2 linked regions of the Oreochromis niloticus genome follow. The protein of the gene in region 2 interacts with the protein of the main gene of each other region in a pairwise test. Links are inferred from orthologs where the notes say so. Each region holds a gene or a part of one and is shown on either strand. Other genes may lie near its edges. The genes, in order: epm2a and protein phosphatase 1 regulatory subunit 3C-B.

Evidence for each region.
Region 1: the proteins of protein phosphatase 1 regulatory subunit 3C-B (region 2) and epm2a interact in binary tests that used the Homo sapiens proteins (3 or more experiments, as listed by UniProt). The link is inferred for Oreochromis niloticus from reciprocal best matches to the Homo sapiens genes PPP1R3C and EPM2A.

The regions. Positions count from the first base shown.
Region 1 is NC_031980.2:11,212,793-11,228,646, reverse strand, and holds the start of epm2a (laforin), read right to left. Parts: upstream 5,914-15,854; 5' UTR 5,687-5,913; coding exon 5,440-5,686; intron 4,100-5,439; coding exon 3,925-4,099; intron 1-3,924. Other genes in the region: hydroperoxide isomerase ALOXE3, read right to left, coding at 15,100-15,279, 15,382-15,552. UniProt on the Homo sapiens protein: Plays an important role in preventing glycogen hyperphosphorylation and the formation of insoluble aggregates, via its activity as glycogen phosphatase, and by promoting the ubiquitination of proteins involved in glycogen metabolism via its interaction with the E3 ubiquitin ligase NHLRC1/malin.
Region 2 is NC_031978.2:881,213-896,351, forward strand, and holds protein phosphatase 1 regulatory subunit 3C-B, read right to left. Parts: upstream 8,013-15,139; 5' UTR 7,864-8,012; coding exon 7,850-7,863; intron 7,504-7,849; coding exon 6,480-7,503; 3' UTR 5,602-6,479; downstream 1-5,601.

The sequences.
Region 1 (15,854 bases), on a different chromosome or scaffold from region 2:
GGTAGGCTGTGTAACTACTTGGTCTCTGCGATTTAAGACCAATATGTAGCCTTCATTGAAACATGGACATACGGTACTGTAAAAAAAAGGTCTTGAGCTACCCCAGGTTTCTTCGTATTTTGCTGGGAAAATGGGAAATGGTTGCGGAGTTTTATTGAAATGCTAAACATACATGGAAATACAGCAAATAAGGCAGAAACAGAGTTTGGATTTTATGGATGTGGCAACCTTTTGTTCCATTCTCTGTCAAGATGATTCAAGATTGCTGCAGTTATGTGGATATGCAGTGTTCTGGGGAGGCCAATCCATGGCTGATAGTCTTTTTTTGTGTCTCTTTCTATCCAGGTATGCTTTTACTGCATTGGCAGTGGGGTTGGGACCATTGGCATGCTGAAAAATGAAACTGCTGCTCATTAGATGCTTTCCAGATGATATTGTATGATGGATAAAGATCTGATGGTAGTTTCCTGCATTCATAATTCCATCAATGTTGATAAGATTCCCAACAACCAACAAAGAAAACCATTTCACATTTGGATCCATCACTCCACGGGACCTGTTGCCACTGACTGTAATTTGCCATACCTCAGCTTTAACTTCATTTTCCCTTCTTGATGGCCACCCTTCTATTAAGACCATCTTTAAGAAGCCTTCAGTTAACAGTCGATAGATCAACTGTTGGGCCTCGTGCATTTCTTAGGGCCTTTGACAGGTGTGTGCTGGATTTTTCTTAAGAACGTGACTTTCAGATACTGTTCATCAGGGTTTTTTTTATTTTTTAGGTCTGCCACTTGTTTTTTTCGTCATTCTCTAATCCAGTTTCCTCAGATTTCTGAAGGAGACATACAAGACTGGTTCATCCCCTGAGTTAGGTGCCCTTTTTATGCTTGAATGATTCATAGGTCAGTGTTAAGAGGCTTAACACTGACCTGACACGAGGGTCTGGCTCCTTGTAAGCAAAATATAAAGAAATGAAGGATGCCTCAAGACTTTCGCACAGTACTGCACATCCTTCAAACTATCTAAAATAACTTTTATTATATAATTTTATAATATTTTTTATGGCACCAGCTCTTAGGCAAAGGACATCTACAGAAGTTTCATTTTCACTGGCTACAACCTGAACATGAAATGAGTAGCAAAAGACAGAAAATGTTCTGACAACAGGTGTTGGAATCTTATTTGCACCTATTTTGACCCAAGAAAGGATAGTAAGTCAACACTATAAGATTAACTTTCTTAATATACATATGTTTAACAATACACTTGTACTTAAAAGTTCATCTTTTACACTTTGACAGTTTTAAACCATCTTGAAATCCAGTTTAAGTAATGCAAGAGAATAACATATCAGTCAAGTAGCCGGCGCTGTATGAATTGCCTTAGAAATCCAAATGAATTCTGAACGATGCCATCTCCTCTCTCTTAAGAACCCAAGCAAGGTTAAGGAGGTGATAATACAACTGCTAGTGGTCTACCTTTTTTATGGGCAATCATTTTAAAAGTGACAGAGCAGTTATAACTAAATGAGGAACGGCAAGGTTAAAAAACAAAGACGAGAACCAGGCTTTGTCTGTCCTGTAAAGAATGAAGGTTTTTAAACTCAACAACTATCAGGAAGAAAGGGTACTGTGACATGACTAATGCTGAAGTACTTCGAAAAAATCTTCTCTGACGTTTTAGTGTCAGAATGGAGAAGAAATTAGGCGTTCATGGACAATACAGATGAAAGCACAAGGCTCGTTACTGAATATGCTTAAGTTTGAAAACTGTAGGAAAAGTGTAAGAAGACAGGGTGATGCAATTCTCAAGGTTGTTCAAGTAACTATTTGAGGGCATAATTTTTAAGACACATGCCACAGAGTTATAATATCCAAGGCTCAGTTTGCAGCAGAGGGACCTCCCACCTTTTTCTTTTTGGCCTTGTTTTGGCTTCTCTTAAAACTGCAGACCGACAAAAGAAGGCAACATTACCAAAACTTAATTCTGAAACAAAGAAACAATCATATAGATATTAATTTCCCCCAGAGGAGCTAACTAATTTTTATTGCATTATTAGGCAAATATTGCAGAAAAGATTAAAAAACCATTGCATTTCATTATTACGTGTATGCATGTGTGTGTGCGTATGTGGCTGAAGAGGAAGTGTGGTGTTGGGAGTGAGCGGTGGGGTGGATCTCCATTTGTATATGCTCCAGGCTACAACACGAGTGGCAATCTGGAAGTTTTAGACATGGTGTAAAGAATATATTAATGTCCAAATGGCTAAAAATCACAAAGAACCCCCCAAAGGAATACTTCTATATTTCTGAGAAGATGTTTTATTCACTTACTTGCAGAGAGTTTGCAGAACAGATATATAAATCATTCCCACATCTGTATATTAAACATGGAGCTACTTTCAGTGAGGTGAGACTTGTTTGAAACGCAGATGGACCACAGGTGACTCTCAGGCTCTTTCCGAGGGTAACAAGATGTGTGTACTAGCACCTCTACACCTCAGGTTATTAAGTTATAAACTACACCCTATTTTCCATTAGGTTGCCAGATTGACTTTGCTATACTTTTTTTTCTTTACTGCTGGCTTGAGCTGGCTTTTGCCTCATGAGTTACATAGTTGGATCAACATTCGCTGTCATCCCAATAACACCATTTTCAGAGAAGGAAGCTCCGTATCAAAAGGGTCTGGGGCGCTAAACTAACCTACCTGCAGCCCAGACCTGTCACCCACTGACAACCATGACATGTTATGAAAATATCCAACAGGCTTGTTCTTTAGCTCCTCAGACAGAAACCTGTTAACTGTTCTCACTTTATGCTTAAAGAGAAAGGAGGCGTTTGCTGTTAGAGCTCCTCAGAAGTGGAATGACCTGTCTGAGGAAATACGCATCGCCTCATCTGTGGCTTCTTTAAATCACTGTTCCATTTATATTGTAAGGCTTGTTTTTTTAAAATCTTGTTTGACCATCTTCTAATGTAGATTTCAGATTTTTTGTCATTCTTAGCTTAACTTATATCGTTAATTTCTATGTTAACGATATAATTACAATGGAATCACATTGCTTCTTAATCTTAGTTTGATGTTGCACTTGAGTCAAGTGGGTTATTTTAATAGAAATGCCCATTTTTGTGCTTTACAAATAAAATTTATTATTAATTTCAAAGCTGCCACAGTTGATTTCTCAGATGTAACAATTATAGAGAAAAGATGCAACACAGAGTAAAAGAAATGTGTTTTAAAATGGTGATTAAAGAGCTATTTATTAGCTTCTTGCTTAATAATTAACATTTAGATACATTACTGGGTAATAGTTCCTCCAGATGGACCAATTGTGTCCATCTGACCTTATTGCTAGCATCCTTCACCTTTACTTCAACATCTGTGGTCAGTTTGGCAGCCCCATATTCACCATTCTTTGTCCACTATCCCTCGTCTGCTCACGTCCAAACCACCTCAGCCTTGCCTCTCTAACTTTGTGTTCAAACTGCTTAACCAGAGCTGACCCTCTGATATACTGATTTCCACTTCTGTCCATCCTGGTCACTCTTAATGAAAATCTTAGTATCTTCATCTTTGCCACCTCCAGCTTGGCCTCCTGTCAATTTGTCAGTGCGACCATCTCTAAACCATACATCACAGCAGGTCTCACTACCATCTTGTAAATGTTCCCTTTCAGTCTCGCTGCTATCCTTCTGTCACAAACATCAATCACCAAAATAAATAAATAAAATAAAATAAAATAAAACCAGCCTTTCCTAACCCACTGAACTGTGATCATCAAAGAATTACTTAGTAAAAGTGCAAAAAACTTTCTTTACCGAAATTGTGAGAAGTGTACGAACGCACAACACTGCAAATTATCTTATATTAAGGCTCCCTTGATTAGAACATCATGCAGAAAGCATGTATATGTACTGTATTACCTGGAGAAATGCATGGCCTTCTGACCAGCCACACTGAAATAAAAGTTGGTGGTGTGCCTCATCTCATCTGTGTGCCCTGTTTCTTCTATCCAGTGGCCGATCGGGTGGCAATACACGCCGTCCACCACATTCTTATCATCATATGTACACCATCTGTCATGGCTTGGCCCGCTTCCTGGTGACAAAGATGACAAGCAGGTTAATGCACATAAATCAGGGACGTCAAACTCATTTTCAACAGTGTGTCACATGTGGCCCAGTGTAAAGTTTAGCTGAGATGTCTTGAAATATGAAACAGATTTCAACAGTATTTCTCAGTTTTTCTACATGATAAAGAAATGGTGTTGTAGTAAATGAAAAAGAAATGTGTCAGCATGATTTAAACTGTATGACAAAAATATGTCAAATTACATAAAAATAGAAATGAGTTTCAGTTTTCTGGGACCATTGTAAAAAACATACATTTCTATAGTAGATTGTAAACAAACAAACAAAAAACAGGCACTTTTCAGTTATTTAACTGTTAAATAACTTAATTTCTGTGATGTACTATAAATAGCCACTGGGGGGGGAATTCTTTATCAACAGGAGAAGTTGTAAAACTTATAAGGATAGAAAAAAAAAGTCAAAAATTTACGCCCTGCTTCTTATATTCTAAAGCTATCCAGTGGGGCAGATTGGAGTATTCACCGGGCTGATTCTGGCCCCGGGGCCTTATGTTTGACACCCTTGTTATAAACTGTCCAACCATTGGCGTAACTTTGTGCTGAACATTGGGTGGGTCAAGATCTCTGTCTAAATAAATAGATAGATTCCTAGATGATTAAACATGCAACTATTTTGCTGGTAATACCTGAAACGAGTAAAGAAAATCAACAGCCTATTTATGCAAGATAATTCATAATTTTATTGGGGGGGGGGGGGGGGGGGTATATTGGTTGGGTCTGATTATTGGGGGGGGGGGGGTCATAACCCCCTAACCCCCTGGAAATTACGCCCCTGTGTCCAACATTAAGACCATATGACTAATTTCAAATGAGAATCCTTTTATCCATTTATATTACATCAAAAATATCATAAAATTAAATATGGCTTGCATGTTAAAGAAACTTTCAGAGGAATCCAGCATTGCATTACTGTGCATTCATTCCTGGGTGCAGATGATGAAGTATAAATGCTGAACTCTAACTGTAAACCGTTATATTCACATGCTGAATTTCAACTGTTAATTTAAAATAAAAGACTCAATAGTTTTTTCGGATTTTTCAGAAATATTAAACTTTTTTAGGTTTGCAGATACAATGCAATTTGTTAGCCACTGAACATTTAGTGTCACTTACCGCCATCATGTGGCACTATGAAAACATTGCACTATAGCAACCAAACATGGCGCAGTCATATTTATGTCTCTCCCCGCTAACCTTAGAATAATTACAGCAAATCTGTGAGACGTTTGGAAAAGCGTCTACGTGTGAACCAGATGTGATGCACATTAAACCAGAAGTGCACAGGTACCTTCCCAGATAAAGGTGCCTCTGACTCTTTGGATGAACTTGAACCACAGTGTGTCTCTGTGGGGCTCGGCTAGGTGCACCTCACCGATCCACAGACACGGTTCTGCGGGTGACGGGAGTTTCTGTGTGGCTTTCATCCGAACCGCTCTGTTCGGGTCCCAGTTCCCCATTTCAGCACGCGAACCCAAAACAAAGACGTCGACCTCCGAGGACTCCGGAGTGAGAATGACGCCGAATCTAAACAACATGACCGCAGGCTTGCCTAAATCTGTTCAGCCGATTGGTATGGCGACCTTATGGGTTATTATGGCCTATAATGTTATAGCAGCTATTGCGTTACATTCGCGACGCTGTGACTGTATGGTGTAGCCTAAAAATAACCGGGTGCAGTTGGATAGTTCAGTTTGCAGCAAAGACAAGAGAAAGAGAATGAGGTCCCACTCTGCCAGGATTATCGGGCACCTTGCAGAAGCCACGTGAGACTGGACAGCTCAAAATACTGCGCTTCAGAAAACACATTACTCTCTGGGCAGCATCTACTCTTAAGGGAAAAGTATTATATTTTCTATACATTCATTTTCTTTTCTTTCTTTTTTTTACGTACTTTTGTAGTGCAATAAAAAAGGAAGCATGACAGATGGATAACATCTATTGCTTAATAAATAACTGGACACTAATAACTTAAGTTTATTATATAATATTATATAACAGTGCATTTCTAACTACTGTAGGCAGCTCATTATATTTCTCTTGACAATACTTTTAACTAAAGATTTTTAGATTTGAAAGAAAGGCAGACGTGAAGTGCGAAAGTGAGATCAGAGGTCAAATGTGACATGATTTTTTTTGCAAACTATAACGTGATATTTAGAAAACCCAGATACCAGTATAATTTTCTAAATGTGGCACTTGAATTTTAAGTACAGCTTTAAAAATAAAATTTGTTTGACCTCATTCGAACTTGAAAAACAGGTAAAAAAAGAAGAAGCACAAAGTAATGTGATATTTAAAAACAATATTTAGAATAGGATTCCCTCTATGCTTGTAGTTTGTCAGCACAAACATTGGCAGTGAGAAACATAGTTTTAAATAGCTCTACATAGCTTTATCATCACTTTGGCCTTCAGATCAGCTATTGACCGAGAACAAGTCAGAGGTCAAACTTGACACAATATTTAACATTTTTATATAGTACATTTTATGTGTAGACAAAACCACCACACTGGTAATGGTAAGTTCTCAGGTTTTTTTGTCAGTTTTTAATCCATAAATTATTAAGTTGACCTTCAAAACTTTGGTGGATATTTACTGTATGCTTACATTTAAACATGTAGTGCTTCTAGAGGTCACCACAGTGATGCTCCACCATACCTGCTCTCCAAGTAAAGAAATAAAATATTTACATTTAGCTAATCTGGTAAAAAAAAAAAAAAAAAAAAAAAAATTAAACACATCTTAAGCTGTTTGGTGTGGTTGTGATTGTTGCCATTAGGTGTTTTCATTTATTTGGAATGAGAGAAGGTATTACCAGAACAAACACATGCCAAAACTTGGGCTCTGTCCTCTAATCCTTCAGAATCACCCTGCATGTATAGGGCTGAGATCCAAATATTTCTGGTCCTCAGTAATAATAACAAAAATAAGAAGAATGACAAAATGCTGGTTTTATACAGAGTAGAAGTAATGTGGTGCACGAGAAGGAGGAGAATCCAAAGAAAAGCAAGGATGCGTGTTAGGCAGCCAGGTTCTGTGTTGCAGTGAGCCGATAGGTTTGCAGTGCTTCAGGGTTTTAATCACATTTCTACTCAGAGATTAGGCAATAACAGAAACTTGAACAAATCCTGCAGCAGAAAACGACACCAGCAATGTGTGCATTAATCACACGGCACAGTAACTTAATTAACAGAGGTATGCTCAGGACCTGACTCGACCCTAAATGGTGATTTGTGTTCTTCTACACACATCTTTTAAAGTAGAAGAATTTTAATAAAGCAGCACTTTTCTAGATGAATCCTGCCCTTTACCTGCCTCTAGAGAACAGCTGCCTCTAAGACTGCACAACTAGCTTCGATTTCAAATAAAGAGGGTCAACCTTATAAACTGTATTGATTCTTCTTTAGCCGTCTCTTGAGCATGTGTAAAATCTGCACTTACATAGTATTCAGTTTGTTAGATTACTTGTTTTTCCCTTATTAGATCTGCTCATTTTTGACTTGTGGATGTGCTCTCTTGTCAGTAGAATTTAGGCCATCATGCACAGAATTTGCCACTCATCTGACCGGATGAAATTATGATCCGTACATGCAGTTCACCATTTGATCAGTTAAAGCTGAATAATTGTTGTACACTGCCACCATGCATGCTATATGCTGTACATGCACTGTGTTTCTAATACTGCACTTTAGAAGTGACCAACTCCTCTAATGTGAGCATCCGCAGTATATGGACATGCGTGCAATTGGTGGCAAGGATCAGTTTGTATAATCAAGAGACTCTAAACACAATCCCTCTGGAGAATTCATGTTTTTCACTATACCTGTCATGGCTTTTGTGTTTAAGTTATATTCCATGATTATTTGTTATTCATGGCTTTGGTTTTGTTGATGGTTTTCTGTTCATGTTATATTTGTAGTTCCAGCTCCTGGTTTCAGTAACTGTGTCTTCCCTGTGTTCTATGTTTCATATCCAGTCAGTCATGTCAAGTCTGTGTCTCTGAGTCTGCGAATGTCTTGTGCTTCCTGTTTTACTTTGAAAGTCCTTGTCTTATGTCTGGGTATTCTGCTTTGCTTCCTTTGTCTTGTTATGTCTGATTTGTCCCGGCTGTGTTGCCACCTTGTTCCCCAATCGCTCGTTGTCCTGCCTGTGTATTTAAGCCCTGTGTCTTCCTCTGTCTCAGGTTTTTATGTTTCATGTCCTGGGTTTCTAGTCCCAGGCTTTTGTTCCTTTGTATCATTTTTTAGTTTCACCCAGTTTAGGTTTTGTTTTAGTTTAGTCACTGCCATGTTTAGCTCTTGCTTGTATTTCGTTTTCCCCACTGTAAATAAAGCTCTGCGGTCCAAATGCCTGCACTTGGGTCCTTTCTCTCACCACTCCACGTGTCTGCTCCCGCAGCCGTGACAATACCACATTAGAATAATCCACCTTCCACAAATCTGTTGCTCTTCTTTCCACATGAATGTAAGGTTTAAAAAAAGTGTAAAAGCCTGTAACTATTCAATAAAAACACTAAAAGTTTTTCGGTTACAACCAAAAAACTGTTCTAGTACTAAAATACCTTGTCAGGCATCCGTTGTATGAATTAACCTCCTACCATGCAGGTTAGCCTGGTGCTGCCAGCTGACACCTTTCTTAAATAGTTATGCTGTTCTCTATTTTAATCAGGTTCAGATATGTGGAGGGTACTTCAAGCTGAGAGTTTCTTCCTGTAATTGCTTCACTGAGTTTGTACAGCTGGGCTTGAAACTCCTTAATCATTTGCTTTAGGGCAAACTCATCAAATCGCTCTTCAGCGCACTGACCCACGAGAACCTGTAAAGTAATGAAAAAAGGACAACCGATTTAGTGATATGATCTTTAAAAACCTGAATTACAAAACCTTTTTGTTACATCTGGCCATTCTCTACTTCACAGTTTTGGCCTTTGATCAGGGACCTCAGTTTGTACAAATACCAAACATCTGGTCTTACCTTCATGTCTGGGCTTATTAGTGAAAGCAATAAGCTTTCACAATAAGCAATAAGTGTCCATGGATGAAGGAGTTTCAGTTAAGAATTGTGACCAGAACCGTGATTAAAAAAATATATATATGTATATATATATGTATATGTTGTTTTACTTTTTTTTCTTTGGAGGTGGTGATTTTGGGGGGAGGGGCTAGTGAGGGTTGTGCATCATGGATTGATAAAATGTAAAACTTAATACATTAGTGCACTTCTGAGAGAGATGTCGAGCCATTCCTGCAAACTCCACTGTCTCTCCAACATTTGGGAGAGTCTCCAAAATTGTCTGCACACACAGCAAGAGCGAGCCATTGGACACCCAGGAGTGGTAATCAAGCTAGATAAAGAAGTGTTGAGTAAATAAGCTTCACAGCTGTGCACACAGCTTCCTCTGGAAATCATCAGGAAATCTCTGGACTTTAAATTTAGCTTACTATAAAATGTGATCTAAAATTGACAACCTGTATATAAAAGATGTTTTAATTGAAACACTTTATGCATTTCATTGCCCAACCTGTCTATTATTGTTTGCAGCGAGTTGACTTGTCACTGTGAAGATCAGCATTGTGATGAACTTGATCACTCCCTCAACAGTATAAGTATGCTACTATAAGTATGGATCTGGTGGATCCTCTTTTGAAGCTCTGTGTCTTTTTGCACGTCGCCGTCTGACGGATAGTATTAATCCACTATATTCCTCACAAAGCTGGCAAAAACATGACAGTTTGACTTTCAATGAATCTGACATCACTGCAGCATTTTTAAATTAAGAATTAATCACCACACTCCCAACAATGTGCAAGACTGTTTATTAATGAATTAATTTGTAGATGTTTATGTAATGCTTGAATGGATTTCCTGAATGACATGGCCTCCAGTATTACTGTGAATTGCTGAAATGAAGCCATCCTGCCTCTGAGTGACAAAGTAGTTTACTACTCCTTTGCTACTCTATTATAATTCTTCAGAGTCAGGCTGTCCTAAAAACGCTCCGAAAAACCTTTAGCGGATCCAAAACACTGCCCTGAGAGTACTCACCGAGACTCCCATATTAGCTTCTACTCATTGGCTTCCAGTTAAATCCAGAATTTATTTGTTTACCAGAGTTTGCAAAAGAATAATGGCAGTCAGACCTTTTAGCTATTAGATCCCTCTCCTATGGAACCAGCTCTCGCTTTGGGTTTGAATGGCTTTTAAGACCAAGCTTTCTTTTTTGATTAAAGTTAATATAACAGTTATGCGTCTATATGCTTGAGCACCTCCCATTTCTTTAGTCCTCATGCATTTGTCACAAATTACCTTTTGTCTACTTTCTCTTGTAGCCCATCACCCTATACCACCCCACCCCATTTATGGCTGTCTTTATGATCCATTTATTTCTTTCCCCACCGAGTGACACCATATTATTGCCCTTTCTAAATCTAGTCTTTCATCAAGTTCATACTTCTCTACTTCACCCTCGCTACTTTACAATATAAAAGTGCCTAAAGACAACTGTTGTTGTTAACTATATAATGATTGAAAAAAAAGTTCAGACTGTAGCAGTTTTCATACTCTTAATTTAATGCTGACCTGTTGATGATGCTCCACAGCGTAGTAGAAGTTGGGGATCAACTGCAGTCTTCATGCAGTGATGTTCTCTGGCAGGCAGAGGGAGCTGCAGGAAGAGAGACCCCGTCTCATGAGCTCTTTTATCCCCTCATATCCAAGTAAACTCTGTTGCTAATCAGGTGTTAGTTGAAATTTCTAAATATATTGCATAAAAAAAGAGAATCCACACATTGCTTGAAGTCCCATCAGGTCCAAAAATAGTTGTACACAGTATTGATGTGCAAAGTGTACCAGAAGTGTGGGATCAGTAGCTGTACACATAGAAAGTAATTATCAAAGTAAAAATTTGAATAAAGATCAGGGTAAAGTCCTCTATATGATATAAAATGATATAAGTAATATAGAAACATCACTATAGAAGGGTTTTATAGTGTATCTCACCAAATTTTACCTTGTAGAGAGGATGGATCTCAGGGAAGGTGCGGAAAGTAGCAATAGCAAAGACCTCTGCCAGATAGTGAGTGCTCATGAGGTGATTGACTGCTTGATGTTCCAGTAGATCTGCACTTTTAATAAACAGCTTGGCTAGCAGCCAGTCTGCCTCAGAGTCACTGGGCAGAAAGATGGGGTTCTGCTCAGAAGGCTGTAGATGCAGCTGTAATAATAAATATATTGAAAGATATTGTACTAATGCTTCTGAAAAAACCCTAACCATTCATAATGCAAATTTTCACTAGTATCTTCTGTATTTACCGTCCTGTTGGAAGACATCTGAAAAACAGTGTGGGATGTTGGAGCAGCAGTTTATCGGCAGCTGAGAGGAAGAGGTTGGATAAACTCATTAGGAAGGCCAGCTCTGTTCTGGGATGCACCCTGGACCCAGTGCAGGTGGTGGGAGACAGAAGGACTCTGGCCAAAATAACATCTCTGATGGACAGAGTCTCCCACCCCATGCATGTAAATGTTGCTGAACTGCAGAGCTCCTTCAGTGAGAGATTGCTGCATCCTAGATGCATGAAGGAGCGTTTCCGCAGGTCCTTCCTCCCTGCAGCTGTCGGACTGTACAATCAGAACTGCTCCCAACAATCATAGATGTTTACATCTGCGCTGTAACTGCAATAAGTTAATCAACCGATTCGCACTACAACCTGGTTTGCCTCTTATCTGTAGTTATTTATATTTAATTTAATAACTGTACAGTACTCTGTTTATAGTAACCATTGTCCTTAATGTAAATATGTAAGAAAAAATTGTGTATGTTTCTGTTCTGTGTCCTGTGTACTGTTTGTTTGTATATGTGTCTTTCTGGCTGCTGTTACAACCAAATTTCCCCTTGTGGGACAATTAAAGGATTATTCTATTCTATTCTAAAAGCAATAACCGTGCATTACCAAACCCTGAACTGCCCCTCTTCCTAATCTTTGGCACATGACACGTCACCGCCACACCACCTCCTTTGTGACTGGGATTTGGGGGAAGTTCTGTGCACCTCTTGATCCCATTTGGGTTTATTGCATTCAAAAACTGGAATCCAAAAAAATCATCCTCCTTCCAGTGCTCTATGACATACTCTGGAAAAAGTTAGCAAACAAAGATCTCATATGATAGGGGACTTTTTCCACAGTTGCTGTGGTCAAGTAAAAACCTTTGGTCCAACATATTCTGCTTTTCTCATTCAAGTTTTTTCGTACCCTCTTACAATGAAGGACAACTGCATTTACGAGAGAGTGGTTAATAATGAATTAGATTTAAAATAAAGTGGGTTAGAAATGTGAACCTCCTGTTGGTTTGCTACTTTTGTCCTGCTGGCTAGCACAGCTAACCTTAGCTAAATTCATGCTAGCTAACAAAGATTGTACAAACCTGCGTTTATTAGCATATAAACAATTTCTGCTTTATGACAGGGCTAGAATTGTCATGTGACTTCAATGTCTCAATTAACTGAATAGACACCTGTTAAGATGGATTATAGCAGACTACAAAGCATTTTTATTACAGCATAACACTTTTAGAGGGAAAATGTAGCATTTCCTATACCTCTACATATGTTAGCACAAACCTAATCTCCCACATACTGACTATTAGTCTTTTTTTACTTAATGCAATGGGTAAATTCTTTAATTAGCCACTCCAGTGTGTCTGTCTGCCTTTGCTAGTGAAAGCCTGGAACGGAGAACAAAGTTGCAGTCTTGGTGTAATCTTTTTAGGCCTTTCCAGAGAAGGTACACCACAGTTACACTGGAATTGGCTTGTTAACCCTTGTATGGTGTTCAGGTCTGTGAGACCCATGCCATTTAGAGGCCGTTGCCCCTTTAGGCAGTATATACCATCAAAACCTGCAAAATATGGTATAAAGATATTTACACTTGATTATAACTGATTTTATTTTTTTTATAACATTTTATTTAAAAAAACGAGAAGCACATTAATTCATAAATGTGATCGAACAAAGGTAAAGGGAAAAAATTAACCATGTTTGCTGTTCACATGGCTCGTAATTGGGATGAAGTAAACATCTGTTGAGTAATTTAACATAAAATTGTTTGATAGTGTTAATTGGAAAGCCAAAACGCTAGCGGGTCCACCAGACCCATGAACACTGGCTGAGTAACAAAAATACGAACACCACACAAGGGTTAAACTGAAATCAGTTTTCCAAGAAACAAGTGGTTAGGTTTGGACAGCTTTTTTCCCTTAAATCTGTTTCTCATTACTGGAAAACAGTACTGGTCAGGCAAGATGTTTGTTTCGGGTGTGTTTTTCTTCTCTTCCAAGATATCCACCCCCCTCAGGCATCACCTGGAAAATAATCTGATTTGTGATAAAAGAAAGCTAATCTTAAAAAGCTACAGGCTTTAAAGTCACAGTCCTTATTTACAAAATTCCAAGATTTATTTTGAGAATCACTGTCTTAATGTTCAGCTGAAATTGTCCACTCCCCTTTCTGTTCCACATAAAGTGATGTATATGTGGTCTAGTGACAACAGCTCACATGCGTAATGCGTGCAAAGGAAAATTAAAACATACAGCTTTACACAAAGCGTGATTGTTCCCACCGTTCTGTCGTGAATAAATTTCCTTCTTTGTGGTTGTTATTTTTAAAGCCAGTTTGTGTAGTGTGTCAGGTTTGCCTGCAGGTCTGTACCTGCATACTGGGTTGGTTTTTTTTGATAATTTTTCTGTTTCCCAGCGTTTTTACACTGTTTGGCTGATCCCTTTGAGTCAATTCTGAACCACATAAAAAAAGAAAGTGAAAAAATGTATATTGTACAGTGCTTAACATGATTGTTAAGCCATCTGTCATGAAAACACAAAATAAATATTTTAGAAATTTCTCAAAAAGTTGTTTAAAATTAAGAATTATATTGTTATTAGGGAAATAAAGTGAGTCCACATTTTTATACCCAAATTTTAGCCAACACATTGGACTTGAATCAAGCATATTTTTTTTCTGTTCAGGAATACGAGTAAATAATAAAATTTGGTATCTTAATTAAAAAATAATGAGCTTTACTATTTCTTCTTCTTTTTTATAAAACAGTAAATTTGAAAATTAATGGATAACAATACTTACGAATCAGCTCGTGCATACTGGTGCACTAACCATTACAAAAACATAAAAAATGATTTTGGTAATTACTGGTGCTTTTTATTTTATACAACTGTGCTATAAACTCTAAATCAGGGGTCTCCAACTCCAGGCCTCGAGGGCTGGTGTCCTGCAGGTTTTAGATCTCACCCTAGCTCTACACACCTGAATCAAATGATTAGTTCATTACCAGACCTCTGGAGCACTTCGAGACATGTTGACGAGGTAATTTAGCCATTTGAATCAGCTGTGTTGGATCAAGGACCCTCAACATCAAGGACCCTTGAGGCCTGGAGTTGGAGACCCCTGGTCTAAATCTTCAGCATTATAAAAGAAGGACTAACCTTTATATATCTATAAGTAGTTAACAACTGTGTGTTAGGGTAATAGGCATTATCCTTGGTAACATTAGCTATGCACACACTATGTGTCTATCATGTGCCTCCTACAACCAAAAAAAGGAGTGACAGTCTGAACTCACTGGAGTTAGATACTCAGATGTGCATGCTACTTTCAGGCGTATAGGAACAAACTATTTTAACTGTATGTATATTCTTTAAAAAGCATGAAATTATGACAAGTTAAAAACCATTTTTTCATTTTGTTGTAAAAAAAAAATGTCCCCCAATGTCCCCAAACTAATCTTGTAATCTATGTAATACATAGTAGATACAAAACATGAACATGCGTATTTATCATGATACAACTAACATAAAACCTGAGAAGCTGCCAGCGTCACCTCACTTGGTACTATATGTACCAGAATTATAGACAAAGAAAGCAGGATACAATGTATTGTTGACTAAATGGTTACACTGTTCTCTATTTCAGTCGGGTTCAGATATGTGTAGGGTACTTCAAGCCGAGAATTTCTTGCTGTAATTTCTTCACTCAGGTAGGACAGCTCTGCTTGAAACTCTTTAATCATTTGTTTCGGGGTAGGTTCATCGAATCGTTCATCAGGGTACTGACCCAACAGAACCTGCAGAGGCAAAATTAGTCAGACTAACAATATTTTATTTGTGATACTCTTTTTTTTTTAAAGGAATATAAATAAAGCATGAAAAGAAAAAACGATACATACCACATCTGTATACTTGTGGGAAAGTACCCAAAGCATTCCTGCAAACTTTACGGTCTCCCCAATATTTGGAAGAGTCTCCAATAATGTCGTCATGCTTGACTGCCCCTTTGTGGTTGGAGCAGGTTTGTAAAGCAAGCCTGAGCCACAGGGCGCCCAGGAACTGTAGTCAAACTAGAATGAAACAGAAGTTTTTATAAATGACTTGCTTTATTTTTCAAACAAAGGACATAGCTATTGAATCTGTGTAAATAAGGGTAGATATCTGTTCTCATGTTAAACATTATCCACCAATAGCTTCAGAGCTACAGCAAATTCTATTATTCTTCTATTATGTTTTTCTGATACATAAAGCAAAGGGAATTATAGTCGGAGAGAATAACTGACAAAGCAGATTTTACTAAATGTTTTATATAGTTATATAAATGATAAATGTGGTCCAAGATTTTGCGTGCCATAATGTGTGTTTTTTGATT
Region 2 (15,139 bases):
TGTCCTTGAAAAGCTTTGCACCTGGTTGAACGAGGCATTCGTGTTGTTTATAACCCAAGGCTTACACCAGTTTCAGTGAACAGTAAAGTTGTCTTCAGCACAAAAACCCTGCAGGCGGGGTGGATAGAAGCCAATTTGTATGTGTTTTTTACATTTGCATATAAAAGGTCCAGAGCCTTGTCTCCCCTCCTTGCGCCATTAGCAACCATTCAAATGTTATCAGGAGCAGAGAAAGACAAAGGGAAGGAATGGCTGAAACCTCCAGATAGGCCTATGAATGTGTCTGGCTGTTTTCTAACCTTGCAATAATAAAACACGTTACATCCCACGCTGCTTCTGCACTGGCAGAGAGTACATTCTCGTGAAACAGAGTCGTCTCATACTAAGTGTTTAGTAGCCCTGTCGCATATTTGCTCCAAGCCGGTCCTCCCGCAAGTGTGGGAGGACCAAAACTGGAGCTCGTTGAGTGGCCACTTGATGCTGTCACTAAAAGTGAATCATTCCCCACTGACTTCCATGTTAAAATGCCCAACTTTACAGCAGGAAAAACATGTTTACAGCCTGACACAAAAACACTTTGGTATCCCTTCATCAAACCGGTAAAGGGGTGATGGTGATGGTGATGTAACACCACCTGGATACTGGAGTCAGAGATGTGGCTGCTCTGACAGACACAGGCTGACTGACAACCAGACTCTTTGACTGTTTGTTCAATTTTAAATGGAAATATCTGACAAACAAAATGATTTGCTGTGAGGTTACTAACAGACCATGGAAGCGGTTTGTGCTACAGTTTTAATGAATGAAACTTGGGTATATGTTTCCTGGCAAACATCTGTGTTACACCCATACAGCCTATCATTGTAAATCCAAATCTCAGATATGGTCACCTTTGACACTAAAAGCCAACCTGGTACAAAGGTTTTCTTGCCAAAAAAGCCCTGATCCATCGTTGCATGGACTCCACTAGACCCTAAAGATGTGCTGTAGATCTTTGAAGTCCTGTAAGCTGAGTGGTGGGGCCTCCGTGGATCGGACTTGTTTGTCCAGCACATCCTACAGATGCTCGATTGGACCGAGATTTAAGTCAACATCTTAAATTTGTTGCTGTGCTCCTCAAACCATTCCTAAACCAATATTCTGTGCCAGGGTGCATTATTCTGCTGAAAGAGGCCAGGTAACACCGTCACACTGCCTCTGATGGCTCTAGTGCATTCTGGTGCCAGGTGTTCTCGAGGTAAGCAACACACACGCACCTGGCCATCAGCGTAAAAGTGATTCATCCGACCGGGCCACCTTCTTCCATCGCTCCGTGGTCCAGTTCTGATTCTTTCATGCCCATTGTTGGTGCTTTCGGTAGTGGAGAGGGGCCAGCATGAGCACCCTGACTGATCTGGTGCTATGCTGCTCCATACACAACAAACTGTGATGCTCCGTGAACTCTGATACATTTCTATAAGTACCAGCATGACCTTTTTTGGCAATTTGAGCTCCAGTAGCTCGTCTGTTGGATCGGTCCACACAGGTTAGCCTTCGCTCCACACATGCATCAGTGAGCCCTGTCGCTGGGTCACCACTGTTCCTTCCTTGACCACTGCAGACTGGGAACACCCCACAAGAGCTGCAGTTCTGGAGATGCTCTGACCCATGCTGTGAGGAACCTTGGAGTCATTTTTGACCAGGACATGTCCTTCAACGCACATATTAAACAAATATTTAAGACTGCTTTCTTCTATTTGTGCAACATCTCTAATTAGAAATATCCTGTCTCAGAGTGACGCTGAAAAACTAGTTCATGCATTTATTACTTCCAGGCTGGACTACTGTAATTCATTATTATCAGGATGTCCTAAAAACTCGCTGAAAAGCCTTCAGTTAATCCAAAATGCTGCAGCAAGAGTCCTGACAGGGACTAGAAAGAGAGAGCAGATTTCTCCTGTTTTGGCTTCCCTTCATTGGCTTCCTGTTAAATCCAGAATTGAATTCAAAATCCTGCTCCTCACATACAAGGTCTTAAATAATCAGGCCCCATCTTATCTTAATGACCTTGTAGTACCATATCACCCTATTAGAGCACTTCGCTCTCACACTGCAGGCCTACTTGTTGTTCCTAGAGTATTTAAAAGTAGAATGGGAGGCAGAGCCTTCAGTTTTCAGGCCCCTCTTCTGTGGAACCAGCTTCCAGTTTGGATTCGGGAGACAGACACTATCTCTACTTTCAAGATTAGGCTTCAAACTTTCCTTTGTGCTAAAGCATATAGTTAGGGCTGGACCAGGTGACCCTGAATCCTCCCTTAGTTATGCTGCAATAGACGTAGGCTGCCGGGGATTCCCATGATGCATTGAGTTTTTCCTTTCCAGTCACCTTTCTCACTCACTATATGTGTTAATAGACCTCTCTGCATCGAATCATATCTGTTATTAATCTCTCTCTCTCTTCCACAGCATGTCTTTATCCTGTCTTCCTTCTCTCACCCCAACCAATCACAGCAGATGGCCCCGCCCCTCCCTGAGCCTGGTTCTGCCGGAGGTTTCTTCCTGTTAAAAGGGAGTTTTTCCTTCCCACTGTCGCCAAAGTGCTTGCTCATAGGGGGTCATATGATTGTTGGGTTTTTCTCTGTATGTATTATTGTACGATCTACTGTACAATATAAAGCGCCTTGAGGCGACTTTTGTTGTGATTTGGTGCTGTATAAATAAAATTGAATTGAACCCAATCAGCTGACCGTCACAGTTTGACCATCATCAAACTACCTCAAGTCCTTATGCGTGCCCATTTTTCTGCACCAAACTCCTCAACCTTGAGGCCAAAATGTTCACTTGCCCCCCTGATATATCCCACCCACTGACAGGCGTGTTATTGACATCACCCATCAGTGGTCTAATGTTATGTCTGATTGGTGCACAAGATGTATTTTGGGCACAAGCCCAGGGGTCCACATCACTGGAGGTTATACAAATATGAGGACTTTTATTTTAAACTTCAGGTATTGATGTTTTTCCTCATCAAAATAAACACATTTGTTTGTTTTTGGATCATAACAGACTGATGATAATATTTGGTGAGAAAGTAGTATCATGTTTTGAAAGAAGGCAGGAGGACAGACACTGAGGACCTCCGGAGAGCAGAGGAGGACAACAGGAGAAAGAGGAAGGAGACAACACCTTGCCAGTTGAAGGCTACTTCCCTTAGTTATATCATTGTTTGGCAAAAAATGCATAAAAAAATCTATAGGTGCTTCATTTTCCCCTTTACATCAAATTCTGTCTGACATGTTCTGATGTCTACTTTGCATTTTCTGGGAGGTAAGTCACTACCTGATCACAACTCTTTCCTGCACCTGAATACATGGTTGATTTTTGTCCAGTCAGAACATCGCTCACAATGAAACCTATGATGCAAAGCTGTAGTGAGTAATCAGTTAGTGCCGAAGGGTAATAAACGTGTTATAGAGAGGTTATGCAGCCATTTGGTTTATAAGCTGGACTTACTGTTTGGGCTCTGCTGTAACTGTGTGTCAAAATTTATCACAGAAGTTAGAAATGATGGAGAAAGACTCATAATAAAGTGCAGATGCGGTGTTCATAAAAATTCTTTCATTTTCATTTGCTCGCTTGAATTTACCACTTCTGTCGAGACAGAGTGCAGAGGAATGTAAACAGGAAAACCAAATGAAGAAAAGGAAATGAGAGTAGGCTGTGCAATAAAAGGGAACACAGTGACAACGAGCGTAGGAACCTACACATGTACACAAACGGAATGAAAAGCTGATGGGCAGAAAGAGTTTTTGTGATGATCCTTCAGGAAATTACAGGTTTAAAAGGAATGTGGATCCACGTGCCAGCAGGTGGAGGAGAGCTGGAGCCCAAAGCCAGGTTGACTTCACGATCAAAGCGTCTTCTCAAGCTGATACTGGATCAGCTTTTCAGTTTTTATGCCGTAAACCCCACAGTGAGAAATGTAGGAGCAGCAGTGAAGGTCAAAGTGAAATCTGCACAGATCACCCAGCTCAAAGAAAACGAAAGCTCCACACAGTACATGTGCATGCAGAGTGGGCTTGAGTTCACACGTCCACTCAGTTTGTTTCAGATTGTTTCATTACTAACAGAAAGGATTTAAAGAAATCTGATAAACTACGTCTTGTAAAGAGTTTTTCACACTTCACAAAGCTGCATTTTTTCCTAAATTTAGAACAAAATGTAAAGCATTTGGCCTTGAACACTTCAGAAACATGTTGTATAACCAGAAACTCACTCCGGATAGGATCACCTTGGCCTCCAGTAACAGTCTGAGGAACGCTTGGATACTTTTTGAGGAGGATATGCTAAAATAAGTTGTACAACTGGATAACAATAATTTGATGAGCTGAATCTGCTCTGAGTTACTGCTTTTACCAACACAGTCATGGGATAAAAACATCACTGCCTTCATCCACGGTGTGTCACGGTACTGTATCGTGCTTTGAGTAGAGAGTTTTCTTATGTAAAAGCTACACATGAAAGCTAAAGATGCACCCCAAGAGTTAAAGCGTGATAAAGAGAGAGAATATTCCGGCTTCATCCTGATCCAGCCTGAGGACTTTCCTTTGTGCATGCCAGCCGGTCACCATTCTTCCTGCTGAATATGAATCCAGCACGAGCAGCCGCACGGACAAGTGAAAGGAGGGAAGCGAAATAAAGACCAAATTCCTGCAGGCAGCTGAGGCGTGTTCTGTTTGTAGTCACTCCGAATGTACAAGAAACTCATCTGAAGTCAGTGAAGCGAGTCACACGTCCTGAACGCAGTTGATCAAATTAAGGAAGCTGTTATTTGAAACTGAAACTTGCATGTATGATATAATGCATGGACGAATGCATTATGTAGATCAGTGAGGATTGACTGGTCATTGTGATTAAGCCGGCTTTAGCTAAACTGCATCTATGGGAAGATTTTTAGTGTATACAGGGGACATGATACCAGTGACTAAAAGCCTTCAGGCTCTTCAGACCTGTGTTAAATCCATCTGATGTGACAGAGATGGATTTTTAAAGTAAAACTATAGAAGAAAATCTGTAACTCAGCATGACTATTTACAATGTTGCATATAATAAAGTCTTGCCGTACTTTCCCTTCTTGTTTTGATTGAATAAAAGCCCCGCCCACTCCCGGTATAGGCACACGTAAATTATTCATCTCAAACGTTTGTAAACACACGCTTATTTTCGCTGCTGTGTTTACAAACATCAGTTATGTAATTGGAAGAATAGAGTATTAAACTATTAATAATATTTATGAGATATTTAAAACCAGCCCATTAATCATTTTGACGAGCTGAGGGTTTGAATTCCTGTGGTGCATGCCGCTCACAAGCAGACTATATTTTATACTTGTTTGCATGTAAACCTTGTTTTTAGGAGTCTTCAGTGTAATTGCATGAAAGACTGACTGTAAACGAAACCACAGAGAAGCTACTGGGGTTATGTTTGTTCCCGAACACACGTCAAAGATACCAGCGTTTATTTCAAAGACAGGTCTGGACTCGTAACATTTTAGCACAAATATAGAAATTTATTTCAAAAAGGAAATACATAACGACGTGGTGCGCGTCGGCGACACACGCCTTCAAGTGATACACAGAATGCCGGGCACACAGCTTTCTTCAGTGAAGAAAAAACATAAGCTGTTTCAAAACAGAAAATTCTTGATTCCAGCCACACATACTGTACACTCATCTTCAAGAATTGCACTTCTGAAAGCAAACATTCGCTCTTACATCATTTCTTTCTTGACATACCAGAACCACAGACGTTTCCAAACTTCTTCCCAGTTAGAAGCAACCACTCACATGCAGCGACTTTTCTTGAGACACAATAGCAGCTCAGTTCCATAATCATATCACCACTCAAACATTTTAGCAGACAAGTATGTGCAATTTACATGGAGGGAAAGAAAGGGCGGCATGACTTAAATATTACAGTTTAGGCCATTTTTAATGTCCAAACGTTTAGTGTGCATTTTTCATTAGCAATGAATCAACTGTGTTTTCTGTAGTAGAGAAGCATCATTGCGCCATGCACTCCCCATATTTCCCCCTTCAATATGAAGGACTTGATCAGCTCCATTTACAGATATCACATTATTAGGGAGATCTCAATCAGTGCTTATGTTACCCAATCCATCAGGCCCTCAAAAGGGGGCTCCCCATTTCTCTTGGATTGTACAAATAATTTGTATTTTAGTGGGCAGGCACAATGAGAAGGCACATGAATATTTTACAACAGGAAACCCGAAATATTCGTCATTCTCCACTCATATTTCATCAATCATTCATCATCGTCCTCAATCGTTACAGCAAAAACCAGGTCAGTTGAGAACATTACAGCTTCAGTTTAGTCTCTGGCTGCGAGTCAACCCACAGCTGGACTCGTACTGAATGCCCTGTCACCGTCTGTTTGTCTTATTGCGCTTTATTGCCAGTTCAGCAAACATGCTGCAGGTTTCACCAATAAGGCACTGTGTTATCGATCTGACCCCAGCTCTGCCAGCCGGGAAACAGTCCGCTGGACATGCGTGGGCTGCCAAACTGATCGAACTCGAGCTCCACTAACTTGACCCCCTCGTTTTTCTGCTCTGGGGACTTTTTCTGCTCAGCAGAACCGAGGGAGGGCCGAGTGTGCAGGTCCTCTCCGTTCCAGCCGATGTGCTTGAGCACATAATTCTTGCCATCATTATTGTCCCAGAAGGTCTGGCCCTGGGTCTTGAAGCAGATGCAGAACTCGACCCGATTATGCGGCGGGATGAAGGAGGGCAGCTCCAGGACGAATGCGAAGGTGTCGTTGTCCTGGGAGCTGTACACGTTGTTCATGAAGGTGCAGTCGATGTCGGTGAAGCTGACCCACGAGTCGTAGGTGACGCGCACCTGCACTGTCTTCTCAAACCCGATGTTCCTGACCTTAATGGTGCCGGTGAGCGAGCGCTCCTGCAGGGAGCAGCTCTCCAAGCAGACCGAATTCTGGATCAGGCGGTTCCGGAAGTCCAGGTAGTCGGCGGAGGGCTGCTTGAAGTCTAATGCCAGGCTGCGAACCGAGCTGATCTTTAGATCCATTGTGGCCGTTTCAAGGTCTGTCATGTCGAACTGCAGCTCGTCTGTGATTGCGTCCAGGTGCTTGCTTTGATATGGCTCGTCATCGAATTTGGAGAAGACGTGGATGGCGGTGAGCGACATGCCCTTTGTGTCTGCAAACACCACTCGCTTCTTGCCGGCCTTGCTGTTGTCCCAGCCCACGCAGTTACTGTCATCTTTCTGCTGGTTGCTGAGGCAGGGTCGCAGAGGTTTGTAGAGCTGCTGTTTGCGGTTATGGGTGCTGGACCGGTTTACCCGGTTCTTGGCCCTCTGCAGGTCCTCATAGTGGCTGAGGAAGCCTCGAAGAGGAGGCGGAGAATGGCTGATGTAGAACCGCATAGCCACATCCATCGGCATTACTGGGCCGGGCATCGCTGATGGACTGAAAGATCTGAGCACACTGACGGAGGGAAAAGGGGGAAAGAGAGGTGATGAGGGAGAGGATAAAAGTTCAGAAATTTAGAGAAAGTTTCAGGGAGATGAAAAGAGAAAGACAGGCGACATTAGAATGATGGCTAATCCAAACAAATATCGCTTAACTTATCAGCTTTCAGCTCTAGTTTGATAAAACTCGTTAGCATGTCACCAAAAATGGTTGTAAAATCCACCCAGTTTCAAAATAGCTTTACTTTATGCACAGTGAAAAAAGCGACGCATCTATTTAATCCTCACAAGGATGGCGTGACCTACTTTTGCAAAACCTAGATTCTTTTATGTTTTCCTCGTTGTTTGTCAGTTAGGCTTACCTTGTAGCACTCATGGAATAAAAATAGAAGGCTCCAAGGAAAAAAGTGTTTTTAAAAGTTCTCAGTTTGACTTTTGAAGTTTGCAGAGCAGCTTTTCCTAAGAGTGCATGCTGCAGTCACTCCCCCTTTTCTTCCTACTGTCTCGCTCTCTTCCTGCCTTTCAGTGCCTGTGCTGCTCTGCACTCAGGGATTTCAACTGCCACATAGAGATAATTAGCATATTCAGTCATATGGTTCCTGAAACAACCAATGGGAAGTAAGTGGAAATCTAAGCCAGCCAATCAGCTTGAGTTTGACCTGGCTGTCAGCCAGCTGATAGGGGTGTGTGGCCCTGCGTGGGCCTCATGGTTGAGATGCCTCTGCCTGTTGCCTCAGCTGCTATATGAGAAACATGACGGACCCCTGCTGGTGTTAGAGATGATTACTCACTGCGGAGTGCAGCATATCCCCCGTGGCTCCTCCTTATCGTGACTGGGATTCCCTTTACCCGCCACAGCAGGGTTATTCATGTAAGAGCGAATGCACCGAGAGGAATCTTGAAACTGATATCTGGCTTGTTTAATCCAACACAGGGATCCTTTGTAATATATTTTTATATAATACAGAATACAAACAAATTGGAAAGGTGCTGTTGCAAGGCACCGTCTCACAGTGTTTGGTACTTTTGACCCAGAATTTCAATCGGAGAGCACAATGTCAAAGCCTGAAACAGACTGTGTATAAAAGATGGACAAATCTGTAGTGCTGTTTCCAAGTGGTTCTGAAGTTCGTTGTTTTTTAAGGGTAGCTTAATGTCAGCTAACAGAAAAGCTGTATTCAAAGACTGTGTGGGTACATTGCACAGGCACAATAATTAGTGCAAGGTAAGAACTTCACACATCAAACCTGAGGCACCAACAGTTGCAAGGTCGATTTTAGTGACTTGAATTAGTCAAGGTGAGGCCTGCAAGTGGGTGATTTTTGGCTCGGGGCTTTTTGCCTGAGGCAAAGGCAAAGAGAGAAAAGAAAAGACTGACAACAAACAATATAAGATTAAAATCACAGCACTGTGACGCGTGTGGTTATTGTGATGTCCGTAAGCTGATTGTGTCGACACAAGTCTGGTAAGCCTTGTTTGGGCGTAAACTCTATTTGTGTCATCAGTAACAGGAATATTGCCCAAAACAGCATTTGTGACATCTCTGAGAGCTTTTACATGTTGCTGTTTTAGACTATTGTTTTGGGTCACCCAGACTGACCTCCCCTGCCGAAAGCCCGAGAGACCAGCCGAGTTTTTTGTAACGGTCTCTATAAATGGGTGGTTGCAGCTTGGGAATAACTACAGATAATAACATTGTTTTTCTTATCACAGGTTTAGAAGTGTGAAAGTGAATTTGAAAGATGCCAGTGTTTGTTAGTTCATGCCGTGCAGCACCGTAGCTTCGACTCTTCACCTAAACCTAACCATTGTCATTTGATTTAGACATGAGGAACCAAAGTTTTAAAAAGTGTAGCCATGAAATGTGGATAGAGCAGAATCATGTTTATACTGTAGCTTTCAGTGTAATCGTACTGACAGAGAAGTGTTGAGAAAGGCTCACAAAAAGTATCTCTGGTTCCTCGTACTCACAGTTGTTGCTGTTTTCACTTTCAGACATTTAGACTGAGATGCTATTTTTAAAGTTTTATCGATTTTTCAGCCGTGGGTTAAACATTACCATCTGAAAGGTTTGATTAGACCCATCAAGAAGGATTTTTTTATCAAACACAGAAATAGCTAAACCCCAGCTAATGGCTTTATTCACGTTTTGGTTTTTTTTTGTTATCATTTGAGAGGAAGGTGAAAATTTGTAAACTCTGCTTGTTCCCGAGGCCACAGCAAACCAAAATTAGGGGAAAAAAAACTATTTGAACATGCTCCGTCCACCTCAGTTCTCCAGATTCTTCCGAACGAGCCTAAAATTAAAGATCTGACTGACTTCTTGCCTTCATCCACCTGTAACTACACCTGCTACAGTGTGAGAGAAGACACAGTTTCCAGTTAGAGCGATGCATGTCATCCTGTGTTCTTCAGGTCAGAGGGCAGGATTCCTCCTGAGGCTGTGGGGTCTCCCCCCTTTACACCGCCTGTGTACGTCTGAGTCTCCTGCAGAGAGACTTTAGACTCAAAGTGACATCCACGCCACTTTCACATGGGCCTACAGACAACAGACACTACTTATCACAGCCTTATCTGTCTAAAGGTCAATATTAACACGGCCTCGGGATTGCATCAGAAAATAGATTTCTTTATATAGAAACATCCAAATAAATGTGACAGATGGAAAAACCCAAATAAAGTGCTATAAAGAAGGCAGTGAAAACAGTTCAAATAGCAGGTTTGCATAAGAGGTTAAATAAAGTTTTTATTATGGTTTATTTATAAAGTTTCCTGAAAGTGTGAAGAGCACATCTGACTTTTTTTTATATCCACATCAACCAAAGAAAATTTTATTCATATTTTCACTCAAAAGAAAAGAGAGAAACAAATGTGCTTCATTCTTTGGGCGTGCTCCGTTTGTGGTATCGATGCAGCACATAATGTTTTGACTCTAATGATCATGCAGTGATCATGCCTGAGCTGGAGCTCTGGGTCCTGCACTGTGGAGACAGTTCAATATGCTCAAGGTTTCTGTCCGTTATCTGTTATTACCATAACATGATATTAGAAAAGACTGAAGAAGTCAAATATACAAAATAGACTAAAGGTAACTCAGCTGCTGCTCAGTTACCTTTAGTATCAGTTATCTTTAGTCAGGTGGCAGATCAAAAGTTTAGGACCACATGCCTTTAAAAGGCCAAATCTGCGCAAACATGTGGATTCATTGTCATTTTTATTTTTTACTTTTTATTTTTGAATAAAAATTAAAAAAATTAATTTTTACATTTTTACATTTTTTAGAATGTAACCTTGATGGTCCTGATGGTTTCCAGTGTTACTGGCATGACAAGCAGAGCAGATCCCAGCCGAGATGTTTTCTATGCCCCACAGACGAGGCAGCGCCATAATGGCCTGGGGTGCTTTTTCCTTCAGTGGAACAATGGAGCTTCAGGAGGTGCAGGGGTGTCAAACAGCTGCTGGCTATGTCCAGATGTTGCAGAGAGCATCCCTCATGACTGGGGGCCGTCGTCTGTGTGGTAACAACTGGGTTTTTCAACAGGACAACGCTAAAGTACACAATGCCGGCAGGACAAGGGACTTCTTCCAGGAGAATAACATCACTCTTTTGGATCATCCTGCGTGTTCCCCGGATCTAAATCCAGTTGAGAACCTTTGGGGATGGATGGCAAGGGAAGATTACAAACACGGACAACAGATCCAGACAGGAGACGCCCTTCGTGCGGCCGTCTGCACCACTTGAAGAAATGTTGGATCAGCTGTAAAACAGCCTGTTTCAGTTTAAGCGTTGTTTTCAATAAATTTCATGCTCAAAAAATGTTTTGTCTCACTCCCATTTCTTCTTGTTGCTTGTTGAAGCTCTACTTGGAACCTTGTTAAGATCCAACCATACAAAATATGATTTTTTGCCATTTTTCAAGCAGTTTTAAATTTTGATCAGGACTGTATAAAAACAGAATTCAAACACTGGCTTAGTTTATGTAAATTAATAAGCAACATTTTAATAAATTTTATCTAAGGTCAGCAAGTACACATAGCTGCTCTATTTTAGCATGCTTATAGAACAATAAAATAGTTTACTGCCAGCAGGGAAAAATCAAATCAAGGAGTAAAGTTGTATCTAAGAATCTATATTTATTACTAATCAGGGATACACAGAGACACTATTAAACCCTCATGTCATGTGTATTCAGCAGTCTGAGGGATCTTCCTGGTACGGCAATGCTGCTTTAATTAGAACTGATTGGTGATTTCTACTCTCTAAAATTACCTGCTCCAGAGCAAGTTAGGTTCACAGTCTTGAAGTAAACCACTGAAAAGCCAAAGTTAACCCCGAAGTTGAGATGAAATCCTCATTTGAAGCTCAGGCCTCTGGGATATAATAGAAAATAAGGATTAAATTAATAATATTACAGCGAGCCTGCAGCTGTACAAGCTCAAATTTAGGTTCAATCACATTATGAAAGAGGCGGATGGGGTCAACTGTATTACCACTTTCCTTCAGGTGAGTATTTTGTGGTCACAGCTGCTTAAACACAAGAAACTGCTACAAAGTTTCACAGGTAGCAGTGTGGTGATCGTTGACCGGTGCAGAGCGCATTCAAATCACGGTTCAGAAGCGGCTGGTTGTGGCTTCCAGCGTGAGCAAGAGATGGAAATGATTCTGGCAGGAGGAATGAGGGGCGTTACAAACACACAGCTGATTATGGCTGCTGCAACATTTCACCAACACTGGACTCGGCCTGCGTTCCTGACACATGACTCCGATGATACCACACTACTGCTCAACACTCTGGTCTCATTTTGATCTTCATCTGTTAATTAATGTTGATTACCCAAGTCATTTAACATTAAAGATATGTTGTTTAATATGAATTCAACCTAAGTGTGCGAAGCTGAATTTGTAGCAAATGCCCCTCCTATGTTCCAATAGTACAGGGAGTGCAGAATTATTAGGCAAGTTGTATTTTTGAGGAATAATTTTATTATTGAACAACAACCATTTTCTCAATGAACCCAAAAAACTCATTAATATCAAAGCTGAATGTTTTTGGAAGTAGTTTTTAGTTTGTTTGTAGTTTTAGCTATTTTAGGGGGATATCTGTGTGTGCAGGTGACTATTACTGTGCATAATTATTAGGCAACTTAACAAAAAACAAATATATACCCATTTCAATGATTTATTTTTACCAGTGAAACCAATATAACATCTCCACATTCACAAATATACATTTCTGACATTCAAAAACAAAACAAAAACAAATCAGCGACCAATATAGCCACCTTTCTTTGCAAGGACACTCAAAAGCCTGCCATCCATGGATTCTGTCAGTGTTTTGATCTGTTCACCATCAACATTGCGTGCAGCAGCAACCACAGCCTCCCAGACACTGTTCAGAGAGGTGTACTGTTTTCCCTCCTTGTAAATCTCACATTTGATGATGGACCACAGGTTCTCAATGGGGTTCAGATCAGGTGAACAAGGAGGCCATGTCATTAGTTTTTCTTCTTTTATACCCTTTCTTGCCAGCCACGCTGTGGAGTACTTGGACGCGTGTGATGGAGCATTGTCCTGCATGAAAATCATGTTTTTCTTGAAGGATGCAGACTTCTTCCTGTACCACTGCTTGAAGAAGGTGTCTTCCAGAAACTGGCAGTAGGACTGGGAGTTGAGCTTGACTCCATCCTCAACCCGAAAAGGCCCCACAAGCTCATCTTTGATGATACCAGCCCAAACCAGTACTCCACCTCCACCTTGCTGGCGTCTGAGTCGGACTGGAGCTCTCTGCCCTTTACCAATCCAGCCACGGGCCCATCCATCTGGCCCCATCAAGACTCACTCTCATTTCATCGGTCCATAAAACCTTAGAAAAATCAGTCTTGAGATATTTCTTGGCCCAGTCTTGACGTTTCAGCTTGTGTGTCTTGTTCAGTGGTGGTCGTCTTTCAGCCTTTCTTACCTTGGCCATGTCTCTGAGTATTGCACACCTTGTGCTTTTGGGCACTCCAGTGATGTTGCAGCTCTGAAATATGGCCAAACTGGTGGCAAGTGGCATCTTGGCAGCTGCACGCTTGACTTTTCTCAGTTCATGGGCAGTTATTTTGCGCCTTGGTTTTTCCACACGCTTCTTGCGACCCTGTTGACTATTTTGAATGAAACGCTTGATTGTTCGATGATCACGCTTCAGAAGCTTTGCAATTTTAAGACTGCTGCATCCCTCTGCAAGATATCTCACTATTTTTGACTTTTCTGAGCCTGTCAAGTCCTTCTTTTGACCCATTTTGCCAAAGGAAAGGAAGTTGTCTAATAATTATGCACACCTGATATAGGGTGTTGATGTCATTAGACCACACCCCTTCTCATTACAGAGATGCACATCATCTAATATGCTTAATTGGTAGTAGGCTTTCGAGCCTATACAGCTTGGAGTAAGACAACATGCATGAAGAGGATGATGTGGACAAAATACTCATTTGCCTAATAATTCTGCACTCCCTGTATGTGTTATCCAGTGTAAAGATAATCATGTTAAAAGGCTAAATGATCATGAGAAAAAACTTCTTCCCCAAAACACTGACAAAGCTGTCACATAATTGTTGTGTTGACAAATTTGGCTCCTTGAGTTGTTTGCAGTTATAGTCTGAAGAAAAAAAATGAAGGCTATTAATTGTGGGAAGTTAAATGGTATTTATGTAACACTTCTACTACGAGCACATATTTTCCTATGCTCACTTTTAAACACAAAAAATGCAACTCAGGGTTCACGGTTCTTGTCCAAGAATACTTTGACATGTTTTGCAAAGGCCTTTGCAAGCCGCTCTGCAACCCTCCTCCAGTTCTGAGTCAGTCAGTGTCACGGTGCCTGGGCTCTTTGTGCACAAAGGTACGTATGGCCCACAGCGGTCAACTGGGTGGAACTTTGACTGTGGCATTAAACAAGTACTCCTCACTGGCACGCTATTCTTTGTGAATCTGTGGACAGTTGATTTCATGTTCAGCACTTTAATTCCAGTCATTCTGTTGGAGTTGTATTGGTAACTCACTGAAGCGTCATTTAGTATTCATAACCAGCCACTTTACAGTACATTGGGTGGAAGGGTTGGGTGAGCTGAATCAGACTGAACTAAATCGAGCTGTCAGAACTGAGTGGACTCACCGTGATACTGAGAGTTGAAACAGAAACTAAAAGAAACTTTGGTCTGCGTCTGGACTTCTTTAAGTTTCTTGAAAACATTTCACCTCTCATCCGAGAAGCTTGTTCAGTTCAAAGAGCAATTTGGGCGCGGGGACAACCCTCTTGGGGACATTCCCATAGGGCAATAAATGACTTCAGTCAATACTACGAGTCACGTTTGCTTGTTTCCTTGTTTTCTTTTCTCTGCTACTGACAGTAAATTTTCTCCCTTAGGAAGAAAAGGAGAAATCTCAGTAGAATTTCAAAATGTCAATATTACATCAGATCTGAAGATAACAGGAAGATTGAGACACTTTCCCAACCACAGAGTGAGAGAGAGCAGCAAACAGGAGAGAGCTTATGACACGCTTGGCTCCGGTGTGATTTCCGGGCTGCCAGCTGGCGCTGTTAGTCTTCACGTAAGGCACGCAGACAAAAAAGGGATCAGGAGAGGCTATCAGGCATACTTAATAGCCA